2 linked regions of the Oryzias latipes genome follow. The protein of the gene in region 1 interacts with the protein of each later gene in a biochemical or structural test. Links are inferred from orthologs where the notes say so. Each region holds a gene or a part of one and is shown on either strand. Other genes may lie near its edges. The genes, in order: eed and ppp1r8.

Evidence for each region.
Region 2: the proteins of eed (region 1) and ppp1r8 form a complex in vitro, tested with the Homo sapiens proteins (2 studies listed by BioGRID). The link is inferred for Oryzias latipes from reciprocal best matches to the Homo sapiens genes EED and PPP1R8.

What each region holds. Positions count from the first base shown.
Region 1 is NC_019860.2:2,257,396-2,267,286, reverse strand, and holds the start of eed (polycomb protein EED), read left to right. Parts: upstream 1-4,422; 5' UTR 4,423-4,449; coding exon 4,450-4,572; intron 4,573-5,289; coding exon 5,290-5,442; intron 5,443-5,530; coding exon of another isoform or gene 5,531-5,536; coding exon 5,537-5,629; intron 5,630-6,103; coding exon 6,104-6,169; intron 6,170-7,287; coding exon 7,288-7,413; intron 7,414-7,485; coding exon 7,486-7,567; intron 7,568-7,671; coding exon 7,672-7,763; intron 7,764-9,251; coding exon 9,252-9,385; intron 9,386-9,449; coding exon 9,450-9,555; intron 9,556-9,636; coding exon 9,637-9,795; intron 9,796-9,873; coding exon 9,874-9,891. Other genes in the region: periodic tryptophan protein 2 homolog, read left to right, coding at 406-514, 593-658, 739-957, 1,038-1,188, 2,665-2,739, 2,822-2,975. UniProt on the Homo sapiens protein: Polycomb group (PcG) protein. Component of the PRC2/EED-EZH2 complex, which methylates 'Lys-9' and 'Lys-27' of histone H3, leading to transcriptional repression of the affected target gene.
Region 2 is NC_019874.2:22,800,872-22,810,664, reverse strand, and holds the start of ppp1r8 (nuclear inhibitor of protein phosphatase 1), read left to right. Parts: upstream 1-5,217; 5' UTR 5,218-5,264; coding exon 5,265-5,317; intron 5,318-5,762; coding exon 5,763-5,823; intron 5,824-5,935; exon of another isoform or gene 5,936-6,074; coding exon of another isoform or gene 6,075-6,092; exon of another isoform or gene 6,093-6,100; intron 6,101-6,161; coding exon 6,162-6,315; intron 6,316-6,765; coding exon 6,766-6,983; intron 6,984-7,304; coding exon 7,305-7,449; intron 7,450-7,872; coding exon 7,873-7,937; intron 7,938-8,296; coding exon 8,297-8,650; 3' UTR 8,651-9,793. Other genes in the region: protein THEMIS2, read right to left, coding at 638-758, 941-2,154, 2,457-2,882, 2,953-3,093, 3,360-3,552. UniProt on the Homo sapiens protein: Inhibitor subunit of the major nuclear protein phosphatase-1 (PP-1). It has RNA-binding activity but does not cleave RNA and may target PP-1 to RNA-associated substrates. May also be involved in pre-mRNA splicing.

The sequences.
Region 1 (9,891 bases):
CCAGTGTTTACATTCTCCAAACGCAGATTGTTACCTCTAGAATCGTAAATGCCACACTAAATGTTCTTTTTCAAGAGTGGCTCTAAGCGTGTAGAGTGAGTCGGAAGTTTTTGAATTTACAAATACTCATGTTAGCTTAAACAAGAACACTTCTAGATAAAGCTAATGCCAAAGACAAGTCTGCATGTGTAGTGCAGATCTTTCAGGGCAGTAGAAGCTACATCTTGACTTGTGGTGTTTGTCACATGCGCTAGAAAGAGTTCGTCCCTATCAGTTATATATATATGTTAGGACATAGCCTGGAGACGTAGCAAATTTTAAGTTCTTAGCTAGTCGATTTTCCTCAAATTAGCTAACTTTGAAATCGTCTGAATGGGAATTTTGGTTGCTCTGCTCCACTTGTAGGAGTTCCTAGATAGGCGGAAGATGACAGAGTTCGGCAGCTTGGCTCTGGTGGACGAAGGACCCGGGGACGGAGATGGGGTCAACATTAGCCTGCCAGGAGTCAGGAGAGGTACGAGATAAGGTCCAACATCCAGACCAACAGATGGAGAGTTTCCTCCTCTCACTGGGTTTTGCTTTCCTTTTCAAGGTGACATGAGTTCCCGTCACTTCAAGCCGGAGATCAGAGTCAGCTCACTGAGATTCTCTCCTACTGGTAAGTGTCGGGCGCTAGCTTGTTTTTGAGTCCGACTGCATTTACTGTTTCTGTGACCGTTGACTGCTGGCACATCTCAGGTCGTAGTTGGGCGGCCACCACCACCGAGGGCCTGCTGGTCTACTCCCTTGACGGATCGATGGTTTTTGACCCGTATGACCTCGACCTGGACGTGACGCCGGCCAGCATTCGCAAGCAGCTGCGCCTGCAGGAGTGGACATCGGCCATCGTCCTGGCGTTCCGGCTGAACGAAAGCGCCCTGAAGCAGGAGGCGCTGGAGACTGTACCTCACGAACAGAGTGGGTGATTCCTCCGTTGGGTTTTACGAGAACTTTGGAAGTGGCCATCGTGTAGCTTGTCTGCTGTTGTGTCCCCGCAGTCCCGTTGGTTTGCAGATCCCTGCCGGACATCTACGTGGAAAAGCTGCTGGGATTTTTGGCCACATGTTTGGAAAAGTCCAGCCATTTGCAGTTTTACATGACCTGGGCCCAAAACCTACTCATGCTGCACGGACAGAAACTGAAGAATCGGTAGGTAACTTTGGGCCTAGTCACAGAACACTTCAGTGCGGCTAGCTAGTTAGCTCTGGTTCAGAGGTGTGCTAAGGACTGTAGAGCAGTATGGTTGTGACGCAGTATAGACGAAGGTCACATTAGCAACCTTACGATTGCTAGTTGACAAGGTCATGGTCTGTAATCCTTACGCCATCATATCTGAACGTCTGTGGGACCCACAAGCGAAACAAAGATCCTTCAATGTTCTTTTAACGGCGAAGCTTTAGCATCACATTCTTTCATCTGTTGTAACTCTTCAACGTTTTTTTTACGGTTTTATTACAAAAAGAAAAGCAGCTTTTCTCTTAGTTAGCCGATTTACGTTGATTGCGGAAATGGTTGAAGAGTGAAGGCCGTGTCACACAGCTACGACGTACGTATGTTTTGCGCATATTGTATGGATGAAAAGTCGTTATAGGTGGAAAAAGTGAGTTTTGGTCTATCCGTGAAATTTTCACAGATGTATCACGAATGAACCACATTAAAACTACAAAAGAAGTATGAATAAACCACGCTAAGAGCACATCAGTGTAGAACATGAACCGTGCATGATTAATGTGCTGTTTATATGCAACTCATTAGTGATTTGTGCATCAAGTACCTAATTTTTGTTCATACATGCGCCATAAATGCGATATAAAAGCTATACATCGGTGGTACACACGTAAAAAGTCCGTTGTAGATAGCCACGAATTTTCATATGCGTCTCACAAAAATCACGCACAATAGCCTAAGTTTTACATAAAAGTTGCATGTAAACTACGTAAAATACGCCATAACTGCGTATTTCTCAACTGGCCAAAAATTCTGAACAGCTTTAAACCAAATTCACGGACAGACCTGTCAGCAAAAACCCTCAACGGACATCTGAGCACATCGACAAATGACAAAGGCAAGAAAAAATTACGAATTCGGCATATCACGAAACACTCAAATTTTATCCTTGGAAAATTCGCAAAATGTATATAGTGGCTGTGTGTCGCGGGAGGTCTAATGCGACGTTCACACCGGACTTCAAAACACGCATTCCAGGAACCGCTTCCAATAAAAAGTCTATATAAATGCACGTTTTGGGCTTCCAAATTCAAAACTGTTGCGTTCATGCGTCTGTTTTTGGGCTCTACAGGACTCAGATTTGGTAGTGACTAATGTGTAGTACCAACAGTTACCCACAGGTCAGCGCGTTCTTCACACATGGCTGGTGTGTGTACATAGCTTGAATTGCGTGTTAAGTATGTGTCGCCGGCGACAACTCCAGCGTCAACGGGTTATGGTCAAGAACACGGGTTCTACACCACTGATGCTACAGGACAACAAAGTTGCTTGATTTAAAAAAATAAAAAACGAATTGATTAAAACCTTTGATCTGAATCATTTAAACTTAACCGATGTAGAAATATAACTCGGTAGAAAAGTTCAATTATCAAGATACATTTTCTGTTTGGTTTGCAGGTCGGGCTCCATTCTGGCCACGCTGCAGTCACTGCAGAAGAGCATTCAGAGGCACTTTGACAATCTGTCCAAACTGTAAGTCTCTCTTCAGCTTCACAGCCTCATTCAAAACTATGATGGCCCCCCTTTTTTTTTTAAGTGTCGATTCTCCTTCCAGGTGCGACTTCAACATGTACAGCATCCGCTACGCTGCTGCCTTGTCCAAACAGAGAGGGATGAAGAGGCCAGCGGCACAGGAGGACGAGGAAGATGAAGGACCGTCAGAGGAGATGAGCCAAGCCTCTTTGGATGACGATGACATGAGGCTTTAGCCGCTTGAAAGTCTCTTAGAAGCAACATTTTATAATAATAGAATCTTGTTTTGTACCTCTTTTAAAAATAAATGTATATATGTGGTGTTAAAAAGTTTGGTTTTGCTTCTCCGATCATTTTTTAAACTATTTTAACATGTTCTTAATGGTTTTTTTAGTGAAAAGTCTGCTGTTTTTAGCTAGTCGTTTTCTAGGACATAGTTTCTGGGAGAGCGGCTAGCTCACTGCCTTTTAAAATCTCCATGTTAGTGCCATTATGCGGCACGTTAACCAATCAGGGACCCAGCTTTGGGTACGTGATGTTTTCAGTGACTCTATCAGTGGATGGAAAAAAATATCTGGTTTGACTGGAGCAATCAAGCCAGCTACGCTACCGGACAGAGTAGTGACCTCCGATGCCCAGGGTCCAGCAGAGCTAGTGGAGCTCTCTATGTCACAGGACATTATTTAGGCCCTTCTGCAAATCTATTTATGCAGTTTATTATTCTGTGCTACAGGCATTGGACTGTGACTACACGATCCGACCTATCCGTTGCATTGAAGTTTTCGCATTTCCTCTGTTTAGGGGATTTTAGCCACCTCATACCTTTGACAAAGCTGTGACATCGACTCAAAGTCATTAGACTTGGCTCACAAATGACTGGTAAGTCCACTGTGCTTTGTTCCGAATTGAAATTTAAGGCTGTGTACAAATTCCTTCGCTATTCACGACTTAGTGCACTACATAGTGCGTTCGCTGCCGTTTGTACTGTCCGGATGTACAATTCCCAAATCGAGTGCCCTAGAAATCTGCCAGAAGTCTGCGAAAAACCAGTGTAGATCAATATTCACTAGATTGGCAAATATAAACATTGCATTTAATTTTTTTTGCGAAAAACAGTTTAAATGTATGTTTTTAATAAACCAACATTTTCATCATTGAACATGTGCGAAGGCTATGCGCAATTGCATGCTTTGCTGTCTTTATATTTTCTGTCACTACTACAAACTTTGTCAAATGGCAGTTTTTCGTGAGCTCCCGATTCACTATTTGAATAAAGAAATACTCAAATGCTATTTTAAACTATATTTAATTTCCTTTTTGACTACTACATTATCAGAAAAATCCTACAAAAACATGTTGAGAACAACATTTTTATCAGAGTGGGTCTTTCAAGGAAAAGAAGTGATAAGTGCGTAAATAAATTTCTGTCAAATGCTCAATATTGTGTTTTTTTTCTTTCCAAAATTTATAAGTTTTTGTCATCAAAATGCCAGCCAACTTTTATTTAGCTCATTCACGTCGTGTAAATTACGTCATTTTAAAAAACATTTTTTTGAACACAAATGTAACCATAACATTGATAAATCACAGGAAAAATTACATTTCTTTTTCTTTGTTTCCCGCTTATTGACGGGAAGGTCCATTAAAAACCCCCATTCCCAGCAGCCCTTGCGGCAGCGCACCGGAAGAGGCGGGACCCTGTGCCGAAAAATGAGGGAAAATAAGAGCATGTCCGAGTCCCCGTCGCAAGCGGCGAAAGAAACACCGGCGGCGAAAAAGCAAAAACTAAGCAGTGACGAAAACAGCAACCCCGACTTATCGGGAGACGAGAATGTGAGCAGCCGGTACCGGACTGTGTGTGTGTGGTTTTTTTTTAAAAACGACGAATGTTTAATCGCGCCGTTCACGTTAGCTTCCTGCTAAATTAGCAGCTAAAGCTAGCATCTTTGTCCGTTTTGGTTAAACACCTGTAGATGTGAAACTCCGTTGATTACAAAAAGCAGCTTCATGGTCACAAAAACAACAAACAAAACTAAAAGGTTACGTACATTTCAGCTTTGGACACGAACATGCTTTACTTTGAAATTAATTTTGTAGCTAGCTTGCCTTAGCACGAGCATCCTAGTGTTTTTCGGCCATTTTATAAAAAAAAAAGATTTCTTCAAGTAAACCTAAGTGATTTCGTCTTCAAATAAGGCTCACACAAACCGTTGTCCTAATTTTTTAGTTAGATTTGAAGTCCTCAACGTAACTAAAAGGCTAAAGCGAAAATTATTTTATATTGCTTGTATTTTTGTTGCATATTGTGTCCTATTTACATGTATTTAGAACTTTAAATCAATACAATTACCTGTAAATTTGAGAAGAGCAACGGAAATTTTGAAACAAACTGTGAAAGATGGAAAATTTTCAATTTCGTTTTGCAGCTTTTATTTTGAAAATTTTCAAATATTGTGCTTTTATTATGAAAAGTGAAATGCATGATGGAATGGATTTGTTTGAGGACTTGTATGTTTCTGAACAAAAAAAACCCTGACATTGCGTGTACAGGACGATGCCGTTAGCGTGGAAAGCGGGACGAACGCGGAGCGCCCGGACACGCCCACCAACACAACCAACGCCCCGGGCAAGAAGAGCTGGGGCAAGGGCAAGTGGAAGTCAAAGAAGTGTCGGTACTCCTTTAAATGTGTCAACAGTCTGAAGGTGAGTCCACCCCCTGCTGGCCAATCCGACGTTTGCAACGCTTTAAAAAACGAACTGACAATAAAATGGCGATTTTCCTCTGACCGAGGTTCAGGAGGATCACGGACAGCCGCTGTTTGGCGTCCAGTTCAACTGGCACAGCAAGGAAGGAGACCCACTTGTGTTTGCCACCGTTGGGAGTAACAGGGTAATTTCTCCCTCATGTTGATCCAATGTTTGTTTTAATCACGCAAATCTGTGCTAGCATTTTGAATCCAAAGATCGTAAAATTGACCGTATATTAGAACTGAACCGAGTCCATGTCCGAACAATTAACAAAAAATTATATAGTGCAGGACTGTCCAGTGCCTTGGATTTTAACGAAATCCGAACACTTGCTAGCTACTTATTAAAAAAAATTATTAAGTACGACGTCACCTATTTCCTCAAGTAAAAAACAAATAAGGATGAACGTTTTACGATTGTTCTGAAGACGAAATCATCGTCCAATGAAAAAATGTACTTTCTCAAATCCAGTTTGTGCAATTTCATAGTAAATGGAAAGGCAGCTAGTGATGTCTTATATAATATAGCAAATAATCATTACAGTTTTGTTTGAATGTTATGCCAAAGCTTGATCAGTTTTTCGGGACCCTAAAGTTGTTTGTTTGTTTTTGTGCAGGTGACTCTGTACGAGTGTCACTCTCAGGGAGAGATCCGACTCCTACAGTCCTACGTTGATGCGGACGTATCCTTCCACCTTCTGCGGTACAAACTAGTCCTTGGTGGGCTCCGGAGCTGGTCGGGGTGCGTGTTGCTGTTTTTATATGAAGCATTGTCGTTTACGACACACTTTGAAGCTTTGCGGGACTATTTTATGTCAAATGTGGCAAACAAGCATGGAGGAAGATGATCACATGCAGCATCAATGTCAGCAAGATGACCAGCCAATTCAATTACGGAAGCTCGTACCTTAAAATTGAATATTTATCTGTAGAAAAGCAACTTTTGTCACTTTCTTTTGGGACCAGCAGATGCGCTTGATGTTCTTGTTTTTTAACGCGACAGTGCCCCCTGGTGTCTGGTTCATCCTAAATATGAATTCTTGCTGTGTTTACTGATCTAGAGCCTATTTTCTGTAGTCGGTCAATGCTTTAGTTCCACTTTGGGGAACTAGGATTGTTGGGCATTATGGGTAGTGTAGTCAGGAGCCTGACGGAGTGATACGTGCACATTAAATAGACAAAGTGCACATGGATAACCACACAATTGACTAGAAAAACATCCCATCAACACCTTTGACCAATCGCCTTCTTCCTGCCCTTTCTACGCATTCTGGGTTGTGTAGTTGTGTCGTTTTTTATTCCTGACAAATGTCTTTCGTTACCTACACAAGAACCACAACTAAAATTAGAGAACATTAATGAGTTAAAGTCGTCCATTGTGATGTCATAGCACTCATGGACCACAGGGCATGGAAGCGTCCTCCACTGACATAAAACTACAAGAAAGGTTGTGGCGGTCTTACTGTTACCGAAGTTAGCCACTGTTACGTGTTAGTAAAGTATTAATAACAGATAATTACATGAATTAACCGGATGAAATACCATGGGCATGTTTTTAAATAAAACTAATACATAATTAATAACTAATTTATAATATTTCCATGTTAAAGTTTCATAAAACTATTGAGTTAATTAACTAAATTGCTGAGTCATTTTTTATCTGTTGTCGGGGTGTATCGCCCTAATCGGACCACACAGACTCTGCAATCCCATCCTAAACTGTAAGCACCTCCCAGCTCCAGAAACTTTCATTGGAATTGCAACGTTGCTATCGGTTTTCCTTGACTAACGCGCTCCCGAGGCGGACGAGAACTTCTACACGTGCGCTTGGACCTACGACACCAACACCAGCCACCCCCTCTTGGCCGTCGCCGGCTCCCGAGGCATCATCAGAGTGATCAACCACATCACAATGCAGTGCATCAAGGTAAACCCGCCCGTTACGACCGCTTAACAGGTGTTTTGGATGGAGGATTTCAGAGGTTCTGTTGGTTGACAGCATTACGTGGGCCACGGGAACGCCATCAACGAGCTCAAGTTTCACCCGAGGGACCCCAACCTCCTTCTGTCTGTCAGTAAAGGTAAGACGGTTCGTCAGGAGTTTATTGAACCAAACCCCTTCTGAGTCTTTGATGAAGGATCCTTGGGGTCCTTGATGCCAACGGGCGGGTCTCTATCTCTGCAGATCACGCTCTCCGGCTGTGGAACATCCAGACCGACACGTTGGTGGCGATCTTTGGAGGCGTGGAGGGGCATCGAGATGAAGTCCTGAGCGCCGTAAGCTTTGCTGTTTTAAAAACTCCCAGAAGAAAGCAGCAAAGGGAAAATAAAAACTGTTCTGGGATATTTATGTTATAGTTTTGTCAAACATAATCTGTTTAGAAATAAATGCAATTTTTGCTCTGTCTCCTATTAGCACTAGCAAGCCCCGCCCTTTGTGTGACTGTTTGTTACAGCGCTACCTCATGCAGCAGTACCCCATGTAAAGGAGCGTTAAAAACTGTAAAAATGAAACCAGAGCAATCGCAGCAAAATACAAATCCTAAAAAGTAAAAGGCAGAGCTTAGATCCCTGTGGTACACCATGATGTATACATTCCAAATGGCATTAAGCACTACTTATAGGACTAAACATGGTGAATTAGCTCATGACTAATCTGAGTTGTGATTAGCGCTTTTTTATATGTTGTTTATGGATTTAAACATATTTAGCTGAGTATCATCTGCAAAAAAACAAATGACATTTTTTTTCTGTGCTTCCCATTTGTGCTAGCAAGCCTCGCCTGCGCCTGTTTTGACTGTTGGTTACGGCACCACCTCGTGCAGTAAATGACCGTTAAAAACTAAAAATAAAATGAACGAGAGCAATCGATAATATACATATCCTAAAAAGTAAAAGGGCAGAGCTTAGATCCCTGTGGTACACCACGATAGACAAAGTCCAACTTGCATTAACCATTAAAAACATATGGAAGTAAGCATGGAGAGTTAGCTTATGAGTCTCTGAGACTTGCTTGTTATTAGCTGGTGGTTGTAACTCATCTTTTGGCGGCTCCTCTTAGTGGTCGCCACAGCGAATCACCTCTTTGCACAGGTAGTTTTGGCAGAGATTTCCAGACGGGCTTCCAGACACGACCCTGGATTTTATCCAGGCTGTGGACCGGCACAGGGAGACTCCTCATTGTTACATAAATTAGAAACTAGCATAAAGGGTCATTCCTAAGGACCCGCAATTGATAAAACTGTATTCATATTTATTTCTAGGTTCTAACATCATGTTAGTTTCGCATCATCTGCATAGAAATGAACAGACTTGCTGTTCCACCACCTATTGGCACTAGAAAACCTCTCACCCTGTGACTGAGCATTAAAAACTGTGAAAATCAAAGCAAAGAGAGCGAACAAATCATATAAGCAGGGGTCAGCGCATAGAGCCCTGTGGAACACCTATTTTACGTCTTAAAAAAATGAATGAAAACTTACGGGAGTTAGCATGACATTAGCTTCTACTGAGTTCTCCCTCGCAGTCTTAAAATGGTCCATAGAACTTTTCCAAGACTTAGACGTGTCACCGGGTTTAACGTGATAAGAGCTCACAGTCCAAAGCGTGGGAAAGTAGCTTCTCGCCAAAAAAAGGCAATTATCTGAGATTAGTAGACCTTTGTGTCTGGATCCGGATTATGATTTTAGAACTTTCAGAACCGTTAATCGGATTAAAAGGAGATCAGTCTGCTTTGGAAGTGAAAAAGTGCCCCCTTTTCTGCAGGATTTTGACCTTCTGGGTGAGAAGATCATGTCCTGCGGGATGGACCACTCGCTAAAGCTCTGGAGAATCAACTCGGAGAGGCTCCAGAAGGCCATCCGGGGTTCCTACGAGTACAACCCTTCAAAGACCAACAGGTGACGCTCCTCTTCATCGTCGCCGAGATGCTTTGGTCCCAGCTAAAACAAATCCCGCCCACAGGCCTTTTGTCTCCCAGAAGATCCACTTCCCGGATTTCTCCACCCGCGACATCCACAGGAACTACGTGGACTGTGTCCGGTGGTTGGGAGACCTCATTCTGTCCAAGGTTACGGTCCAAACTGCTGGTTCTGTTCACCTAATATTGTCCAAAAAATAGTTTGAAAATACCTTTTTTTTTTTCTTGCAGTCCTGCGAAAACGCTATTGTCTGCTGGAAACCGGGGAAGATGGAGGACGACATCGACCACATCAAGCCCAACGAGTCCAACGTGACCATTCTGGGCCGCTTCGATTACAGCCAGTGTGACATTTGGTACATGCGCTTCTCCATGGACTTCTGGCAGAAGGTCAGTCTAAGAACTTTTCACGAAGGTTAGCTCAGCGTCGTCTGCATAGAATGACGGCGTTCTTGTGTGCCCGTCCAGATGCTGGCTCTGGGGAAC
Region 2 (9,793 bases), on another chromosome or scaffold:
TCCATATTTACAAAACAAAGATGGAATATTTTTTACATGCAAAATATGTTCCTCATTTCTTTTGAGCAGCGTCTTTTCAGGGAGTTTACTTTGTAGCGGAGCCGGTTAGGTTGATATTTCAGACAAATCGTACATTTTGCGGTACAAGCACCAAATCTGCCGTGAGTAGACCTCAGGAGGCCCTCCTTTAGAAAAACATGTTTGCTGTGAAAAGAAAGACAAGGAAGCTGGAAAACGTCACCTGCAGTGTTCAGTACCCATGTATTTATCTCTCACTATATATATATATATATATATATATATATATATATATATATATATATATATATACATCACTTTATCCATCAAAGAAGATGGACAGAATATTTTTTTTTTTGTGGCAAACATGCTTTTTTTTTTTTTTTTTAAAAAAAAGGATCCTAAGTTGCATCCATGCTAACTTTGGTGCTTGTACCACAAAATACACTATTATTTTAACGAGTTCCACTATTAGTCTTTTCTGATTAAATATTGTCGGTTCTGTTGAGCCAAAAAACTCACAAACCAAAGGAACGTTTCTTTGCTCTACAGAAGATTTGCAAGTGCATGGTGTTCGGCATTCATAAAGTTTTTATGAACGCTAAAATCAAATGTTCACCTCGTGTTTTTTGTGACTGGATTAGTTTTGCGTAGTCGTTTGCTACAGCCCTCCTTTCTGCCACTTCAACTTCAGAGTGTTTTCGGGGCACAATTGGTGGAGACTCGTCAGTTATGTCAGCCTGTAGGAAAAGAGGAAACGGTAAAGGAAAAAAAAAAAAAGGGAAAATAGTACCTGACCTTTTTCTGAAAGATTACCCAACAGTCACATTTGAAAAAGGTATGGTGTCAGACATAAGTGAGGTTTACTGTGTACTGTAACAGAGAAGCTTTTTGAACATGACTGCCACAGATCCATACTTACTGGAGGGGGTGGAGCTGGTGGTCTTCGCTTGTTAGTTAAAGTCAGATTACTCATCTCCTCGGTCGGGGTGGCCATCTCCTTTCGGTGTTTGGTTTTATTTGTTTTGCTTGTTTTCTTTGTGCTCTTTCCCTTTTTGCTTGTTTTTTCTGAAGACATGTTTCTCTTTGGCGGCCGAGGCGGGGGAACTTCGTTTGAGCTGACCTGCTTTCGAAACTCATAAAAAAAGGACTCGGTCACCTCAATGACCTTTTCTACGCAACATTTGGGAGGTTGACCTTCAGGCCACAGCAAAGGGTCCTTGGTGAAAACGACGTTCACGGAAAGCCACTGGATTGGGATCTCAAAACAATGTTCGGGCTTTTCGAGGAGGCTTGCCTGGATGACGGGCTCCGAAATAATTCCCTCTAACCGGAGACATGCAAACGCCGACAGTGGATCTGTCTCCAGTTCTGTATCACGACTCACCACCTTCACGTCCAGTGGAAAGCTACAGTTCTTAACCAATTCGCTGAGTTTGTACTTTTTATTATCAGGAAGTATTTCCACAAAGTGCCCTTGCATATAAAGAGGAAGAAAAACTTCATCTTTACTATCTTCCTTTTCAGCTGCCTCCACGTCGCTGTCTTCATCGTCCTCCTCGTCTTGCTCTTGCAAGCGTTGGCATAAAAGAGCCTCAACAGACTGCTTGTCTCCTTTGCTGTTCTCAGGAGATAACTCCATTCTCGTGCAACTTAGAATCTCCAGTTTCTCCCCAACACTGAGGGAAGGAAGGCCCTCCGCCACGTCCTCCTCACAGTTCTTTGTCACACTGACGTTCAGGCAGGGTGTCTGAGTTGAAGCCACGTACAGCTCATAGGCCGAGTTAAACTCTCTCGGTCTTTTCCGAAAGCGTCCAGTGTACTGCTGACACACGAGGAAGTACTGCTGCGTCTTTCGGCTCTTCGGGGTGGACACCATTGTGAAGGATTTTGTCGTTCTCTTGTGTAAAACCAAGCTGACCCCTTTGTTGAGCTCTGCTATCCATGTGCTTTTGAACATGTAGCCATTCTCTGGGCCATCTATGATCTCCACAACCGCGGGGAACATTTCGTCCGGCTGAGACATGACTTCTGTCAGACTGAGGGGCGCCACAAACTCTACATCCTGGCATGTGCTGGTGACATCCACCACATCTATCTCTAAACTGGATAGGAAATTCATCTCTTTTTTTCTCACTGTAGGGGAAAAATTGACAAATGTTAGTGAGAGACATGTGAAAAGAGGAAAGTCCATAAAGCTAAATAAAGATAATTGTTTCCCTCTTACGGCTTTCTAAAGAGTAAACATTAGTAAAATGATACTTAAAATGTTTCTGAGCAAAGATATTAAGATGTTTTACAAAGATCCATTTCTATAAATGTTGTTTTCGATTTGATCAATCCACATTCATAGTTTGACGAACTTCTCATTTACCACTCAGCTATGAAAATAAGGAACCAAAAAAATCCAATGTAATATGTAAAGAAGTTTTTCTTACTACTCATGATGGCCTGGATCTGATATATAGGAGAGAAGATTAAGGGTCGCTGACACTTGGCGGTGTTGCTGAAGCGAAACCTTCGACTGCGCAGTGATGGTGAAGACATGATCTCCTGGAGGCTGAAGTTTTCTTCGCTCTCGCACTCATAAAACTCCCCACGGAAAGACGTAGGAATGCACACTTCTGCAGAGGTCTCTTGTGAACCTTTGAGGTGGCATCGCACTTGGTCCTCTTGGCCCTTCTGCTGTTCGATTGAAAGCACAGTCAACACTTTCCCAGCCCCGAGGGTGAGATCCCCAAAGGTCATCTTAGAGCGGTTGGTGAAAGTGAAGGGAAGGCAGGTATCCAAGCTGACGGGCCTTAAACTCAACATCTCTTCGAGCGAACTGTAAGGCATCTCGTCTGGTACCACTTTGAACAGACCTAAAAACAGAAAAAAAATCAGCAAACTGCAGCAGACTAAACATTTTACTCAAGTGCATCTCAAACCAACCTTTGTGATTGATTGGCAACTCGAACTTTTCATCGTTGGAAACATCCTGACAAGAAACTGAGTGGAGCTCCAATCCAATGATCTTTATCAGATCACCGGTAGAGAAGCACACTTCACTACCAGAGAGTTCATACACAGAACCTGAACAGAGAAAGAAAGAAACATGATCCTTATAAAAGTTTAACATTTTTACTTAATGCAAATATGATCATCACATAAAATGCTTCATGAATGAGACCAGTGGAAGGAAGGAGGGAGGCACATACGCTAAAACAGGCTGAGAATGTTGAAATCCAGACGCAGTAGAACGTGTTTTAGTGCCCGCAGTTTCTGTGTTCCCTTAAACTTCTTTAAAATTTATACTGAAGTCTTTACTTTTCAAAGAACCAAAACCCCACAAGGCTTACCTTGAAAATACACTCCAGAGCACACTTGCAGAATCTTTGGCAAACTGGCCTTGTCCAAGGATGCAAAGTATTCTTGAAGCGGCAAAGCGATGGCACCTGCCATTGCTGTTTCTGTGCTGCTCTCAGAAATGAAAGCAGGAGGTAAATGACAAGCACAGCAAGAAAACAAAAAAAAAAGGAGATGCTCTCGCATCTAAAAACCACAAGAGTGAACAAGGAAGTTAAGGGAGTTATTTGCACAAGTTGTGCACACTGTGGTAAAGGCAGTGAGATATGACTCAGGTCTTGGCTCACAGACAATGTTACAGTTGTTGCAGCTTAATAAAATACACCACAAAGTGAATAAGAGTTTTTACAGATGTCATATATGCACATGAATGTGTGAGAGACAGAATCTGAGAAGAACAATTTCTCCTCTATCAATGGAACAAAACATAAAATGCATTCTTTCTGAATTAAAAATGTTCTAGAAGGACTAACTCTACTGCAATGCCTAAACCTTAGAACTCGTTTTATTTTATTTTACTGTATGCAAATGTACTTGGGTAAGGAAAACTGGATTTGGATGTGTGACACATTAACTAAACATGTGATCTTTACCCCTTTTGCAAATTATAGACGGAAAACATTTCATTTTTGGTTGAAGCCTTACATGTCTGAATCAAATGCAGTTAAAAGTTGTGTCTGCACCCCCTCTTTATGGATCCAGCTCACAGCGCTTTTCTGAAAATGTCTATCATCCTTTCTGAAAGTTCACTTCTGCTTCAGCTTTACACTTTATGCCATCTGTAAACAAAACTTTTACCATCTCCAGCTGACTAACAGAGGTCAACGCTGAACATATTTTTTTATTTAAAACATAGAACTCTAAATGGATCCAAGAGAGTCAGTTAATTTGAGGTAACCCCCCCCCCCCTTCCACCCACCTCAGGCCTGACCAAAAAAGCAAAAACCAGAAGGAGTTCACCCACTCACAAGCAGAAATAGATACAGACACAACTTCAAGCCCCCCAACACAGAATCCCACACATGTTGACCAATCATTTATTTCCAAGAAAATGTTTCCATTTTCAAATTAAGAGTTTAGAGACCTCTAGTGGTCTTTTGTAATTGAATTCTTCATGTTTATTAGGCAGCTTTACAAAGAAACATGCAAATCAAATAAAAAATTACTTGAATTATAACTGTTTTTGTTTGTTTGTTTTTCAAAATATAATATGATAATGTTTTTCATTAGTTAAGTATTTAAAAGTTACTCCCAAACCACTCATCATCTTGAAAAGAAACATTAAACATACAGTACAGACCAAACGTTTGGACAAACCTTCCCATTCATTTGAATGAGAAGGTGTGTCCAAACTTTTGGTCAGTACTGTAGTAAGAAGAACATCTTTCCTATGGGATAGATGGGGAGGCATGTGGTCGAGGGTTCTGCTGTGTAAACCATGAAGAGAAAAGAGAAAAGCTAACAAAAAAAGTCATTTTTGTCATCAAATATTTTTTATAACTTTTTCTGAGTCCCATTACAGGACTGTTGTGAAATTAAAATTAATGACATTATTATTAAAATTAATCTGTATATTTTTAATTAAAATATTACATTTTCTATGAATGGATTTAACACAAGTAAATCAAAATTGAACTTTTTTTGTTAATAAATCTTACAGTGCAATTAAGTTTTAAGTGAAGATCATTTGCCAAAAAAAAAAAAAAACTATTTCAAAAGTTTTACTAAAAAAGAATAATTCCCTGTATCCTGTACAAATCTGACGAATATTGCAATATGGTAAAATTATTATTAATATTATTACTCTTACTATCATTATTATCTCTGAACGACAACTCCCGACATCCCAATGTTTTGTTTACCCAGCATGCATTTTGGTTGCAATATGCTAAAGCAAGATGGCGACTAAAACAGGCAAAGACGGTCCTCCGCCTTTTGATTGTCCATCATGGTGAGAAAACTTACTTATTGCAGAACAAACTAGAAATTTGTAACGCGTTGCTGGATGTGCATTTGCAAAGCTATTTGACCTGTTCATTTGTGCCTTTTAATGCTAAGTAGAAGTCTGTAGTTGCAGTTGCTAACATTAGCTAGGTTAGCATGGTAACCCTTAGCGTTGTTGGCGTCAATTAACCAGAAGGGCTAGAAATTATTTATTCGAACGGGGAAAGCCGTGTTCTTTGTATGAGTAGAATTCACGTCCAGATCAATTAAAAATAATTATTATTATAAATGTGGAAAATATTTATCTTTAAAATATTTATTCTTGAAATAGCTAGCGCGGAGAGAAACATGTAAAAGACATTTGAATTCATTTATTGTAACATTAATTTGTGCATGATCCATGTTTGTTTGTTTTCCCTAAATATTGACAGTAGTTGATCGTCTGTTTACAGGGCAGGCAAACCCCCCACGGGGCTTCATCTTGACGTAATGAAGGGAGACAAACTGATAGAGGTAATAATTGAATGAAAATGTGCAGATGTTGGTCCTGTTATGCAGTAATATGACTGCTTATTCTGCTTTTGTGCCTTACTGTTGTTAAATCATGTATCGTGTAAGTCCATACATGCACCCATACACGAGCCTGACAGTCTGCTCTGTCCCTGATGTTTGAACATCAGGACAGGTCTGTGGCTGCATGGCTTCCAACGGTGCTACAGCAAAATCAGCCGTGAGGTTTAAGCTGATCAGTGGAAGCGACACTGATGAGTTATGACTCAGAGGTACACCTGTACTGTTGAAGCCATACTTTATGTGTGACTGACAGAAAAAACATTCTCTCTTTTCTATAGAAATTGATTATTGATGAGAAGAAGTTTTACCTTTTTGGGAGGAACCCCGACTGGTGTGACTTCACCATCGACCATCAGTCATGTTCCCGTGTTCATGCTGCCTTAGTCTACCACAAACACCTAAAAAGACTCTTCCTTATAGACCTCAACAGCAGTAAGGGATCGCTTTTAGTCCTACCTTTGTATTTGATTTATATTGTTGGAAGAAAGAAACGGTACACAAAGCAGAATGCAATACTGAAGCATTTTAATCATTTAGGAATTGAATACATTCTGCCATCACGTTTGATACATTTACGAATATTAAATCATATGAATAGAGTTAAAAGGATCACCACAGCTTCAACATCCATACACATTTTGTTTGTTTGTATTTCATGTGTTGTGATGAAATCACGGATCGTATCACTGAAAAATTTAGATTTGATCAACTTTCTGACTTTAAAGCAAATATCTTTCCCAATTGCTAAAAGAGTTGGAGTGTACGGTGGTGGTAAAAATTGCATCTTGTTTTGTTGTAGTATTGTTTCATTGTTATGACAGTGTTGCGTTACCTCTTTATTTTATTCTTTTGGGAAACCTTATTTGATTGTTACCCTTTCAGCACATGGTACTTTCCTTGGACACATCCGCCTCGAGGCCCACAAGCCTCAGCAGGTTCCTATAGACTCCACTTTAGCTTTTGGGGCTTCCACGCGAACGTATATCATCAGAGAGAAACCCCAAACCCAAGGCAGCACTAGCACAGGAGACAATAAGACGGGAGATGACGAGGAGCTCAAAGGACTTCTAGGTCTTCCAGAAGAAGAAACAGAGTTAGATGTACGTTATGTTTTCTGATCAATCTTGTTTTCATCTCTGTTTATTCCAGTCTTTTTGCCTGTTGATTCTTGAACTCTGGCTAAATTTGTCAAACTACTAAAGTTTAAGATTTGCTTGTTTGCTTTTATACAAATAGACCTGCATATTTTACTTTGACCATGTGTGCATGGTCAAAGTAAAAGTAAAAGTAAGTAGTGGCAAGGTTTAGTTTCAGAATACTACTATGTTTTTTCCCACTTATGAATCCTTTAATCCCGTCTACCGGTTGGTTGAAATGTTGTAGCCGCCTTACAAATGTTTGTGGTTTCTGAATCCTGTCAGAATCTGACAGAGTTCAACACAGCTCACAACAAGCGCATCTCGCTATTGACCATTGAAGAAGGCAACCTGGAAATCCAAAGACCTAAAAGGAAACGCAGAAACTCCAGAGTCACCTTCAGTGAAGAGGACTCCATCATTAACCCAGGTACTTACCAGTGTAAAAAATAAAAAACTTCATTTATGAACTTCTTGTTTTTAATCATAGCTGTTTTCACCTCTTGAGACAGGATGAATATTTTTTTGGTAGATTTCCTGTGGACTAGTTCTTTATATATATATATATAAGTTTATGTACTGGTAAATAGTTTTTTGTTTTTTTTGGGGGGGGTGTGTAGTTAATTTCCCTTTTTATTAAAGCACAGTCAAATAATTCTGTCAATGTTGCTTTCTAAAGATATACACCCAAATTTTAGTTTATGAAAAGGCTGAAAAATATTTGTAAAATACATTGATATTACTTTTGCAGTTGTGTCAAAGTGTGTCTATTCCATGTTATTCTCCAGTTATTAGGATTCTCATGAATGTAGATGTGTGAAAACATCTCTAAAAGGCTTTTTCTCCTTTTCAGAGGATATTGACCCCTCGGTCGGTCGCTTCAGGAACATGGTGCAAACAGCTGTCATCCCCATCAAGGTAAACTGTCGAAGGATTTTGGTGATTATTTGTATGAGAACTGGACCGAGCAAGAATGGTTTACTTCCAACAAAATGAAATTAATTAACGTTCAACATGAGACCATAATCTTATATTGAGGCGTCTGATTGGTCAGTTTATAACATGAATAACTTGCATTAAAGAAAAAAAATAAGATTAGCAAGAAGATGTTTTTGAAGGTAAAAAGAGCAAGAATAGTTATTTAATCGATGTGAACATATAGTGTTATAATTTAAATTCTGAACAGACTTTATGCCTTCTGTAAATCTGTAAAAGAAACAAAGTTGTACAGCTTCCAGCTTAACCCATCAGACTAATAGTTGACTTTTTTGTTGTAGAAACGCAGAGCGGAGGGCCAAAACACTCTGGGACTGGACGAGCTGACAGCAAAGCGCATGCATGGCTACAGCTTAGGTGGTGGTCTGTATGGGGACTTGCCTCCCACCAGTCATGAAAACCAGCCTACAGGAGCGCCCGGGGGTGCTGCCATGCAAGGAGGACTTCCTTTGCCCTTCCCAAACCCAGCGCCGGAGGTGGACCTGGCCCCAGAGGCTCCTCACCCCCCAATTTCTCTCAATCCCACGCCCGTCACAGCCCCGTATCTACCAGAGACCCTCAACGAGCCACGCAAAAAGAAGTACGCCAAAGAGGCTTGGCCAGGCAAAAAACCCACCCTTTCGCTACTTATCTGATGAGTTCTGGAAAGCTTCTTTCTGCCTCTCAGGTTACCAGAAGATGGGCCAGTCACTGTGACCTGGCAGAGATGGAGCCATTCACTTCTATTTACCCCCCATCAATTTATAGTGTTACTCATCGTCAAACAAAAGTGCAGCTTACATTTTTACCGTAGGTCTGCCTCACTAGAATCCACTCCTATTAATAAACAGTTTGGTTGTTTGTAACTTTTTTTGTCTGGAAATAAAATCCACCTAAGTTTAAAAAAAATCTTAGCAGTTAGTGCATCAGTTGAAGAGTGGCAGATAGTTGTCAGTGACGGGTGTGGAGTCACCGCAATGTCCATGGTAGTTCCGATCAGTGTGAACTTTTTTTTTATTTCTGTTTTGTTGGTTTTTCTGTTGCTATTCAAGCAAATGTGCTTTTATAGACCACACCAAACTGAGAGGTCAGGAGAGAATACATCTGTAAATGGATATTTTGGAAAAATGCAGGGCTATTCTCTTTATCTTTTTTTTTACTTGTACTGTTTTAAAATGTTTTTACATTTCATTTTTGTTTCCAATTATCCCGATTCTGTGTATTAGATCTTTTATGGACTAGGTGTTGTATTCTCCTGGTAAACCAGTAGGTGGCGACTCAAACAAAGGATTCAGATTGGTTTGAAGTTTGGCTGCAAGCTCTAAAGTGATCATTTGTCTGATCTATTGCACCTGAATCTAAGTAATCATCAAAGGAATATTGCAAAGAATTGTTTAATTCTTAAAAGTTTTGGCATTTCCTGGTCCAAACAATACACAACTCAACATATTGGACTTTTTCCTGGGATTTGAAATGGGTTATTCCATTTTCTTTTAGCTAATGACAGAATTGTGTAATCAATATTGGTTGGACTGAAAAATCCTTGGACATAATGGTTTGAAATCTGTTTTACTAACAATAAACCTGGTCATAAACTTTAACCTGTAACAGTTTACACGGCTTAACTAACCGAAGAAAGCCAACTGCGTCTGAGCACACAGGAAAAACTGCTGAAAGATCACAAGATTCTGGAATACCTTAAACTGACTTTGAAGAACTATGTGCATTCAAAGTTGTCTGGGCTTAAGGTGCATAACGTTTAATAATTTGAAACAGTATAATATTTCCCAAAAGGTGGT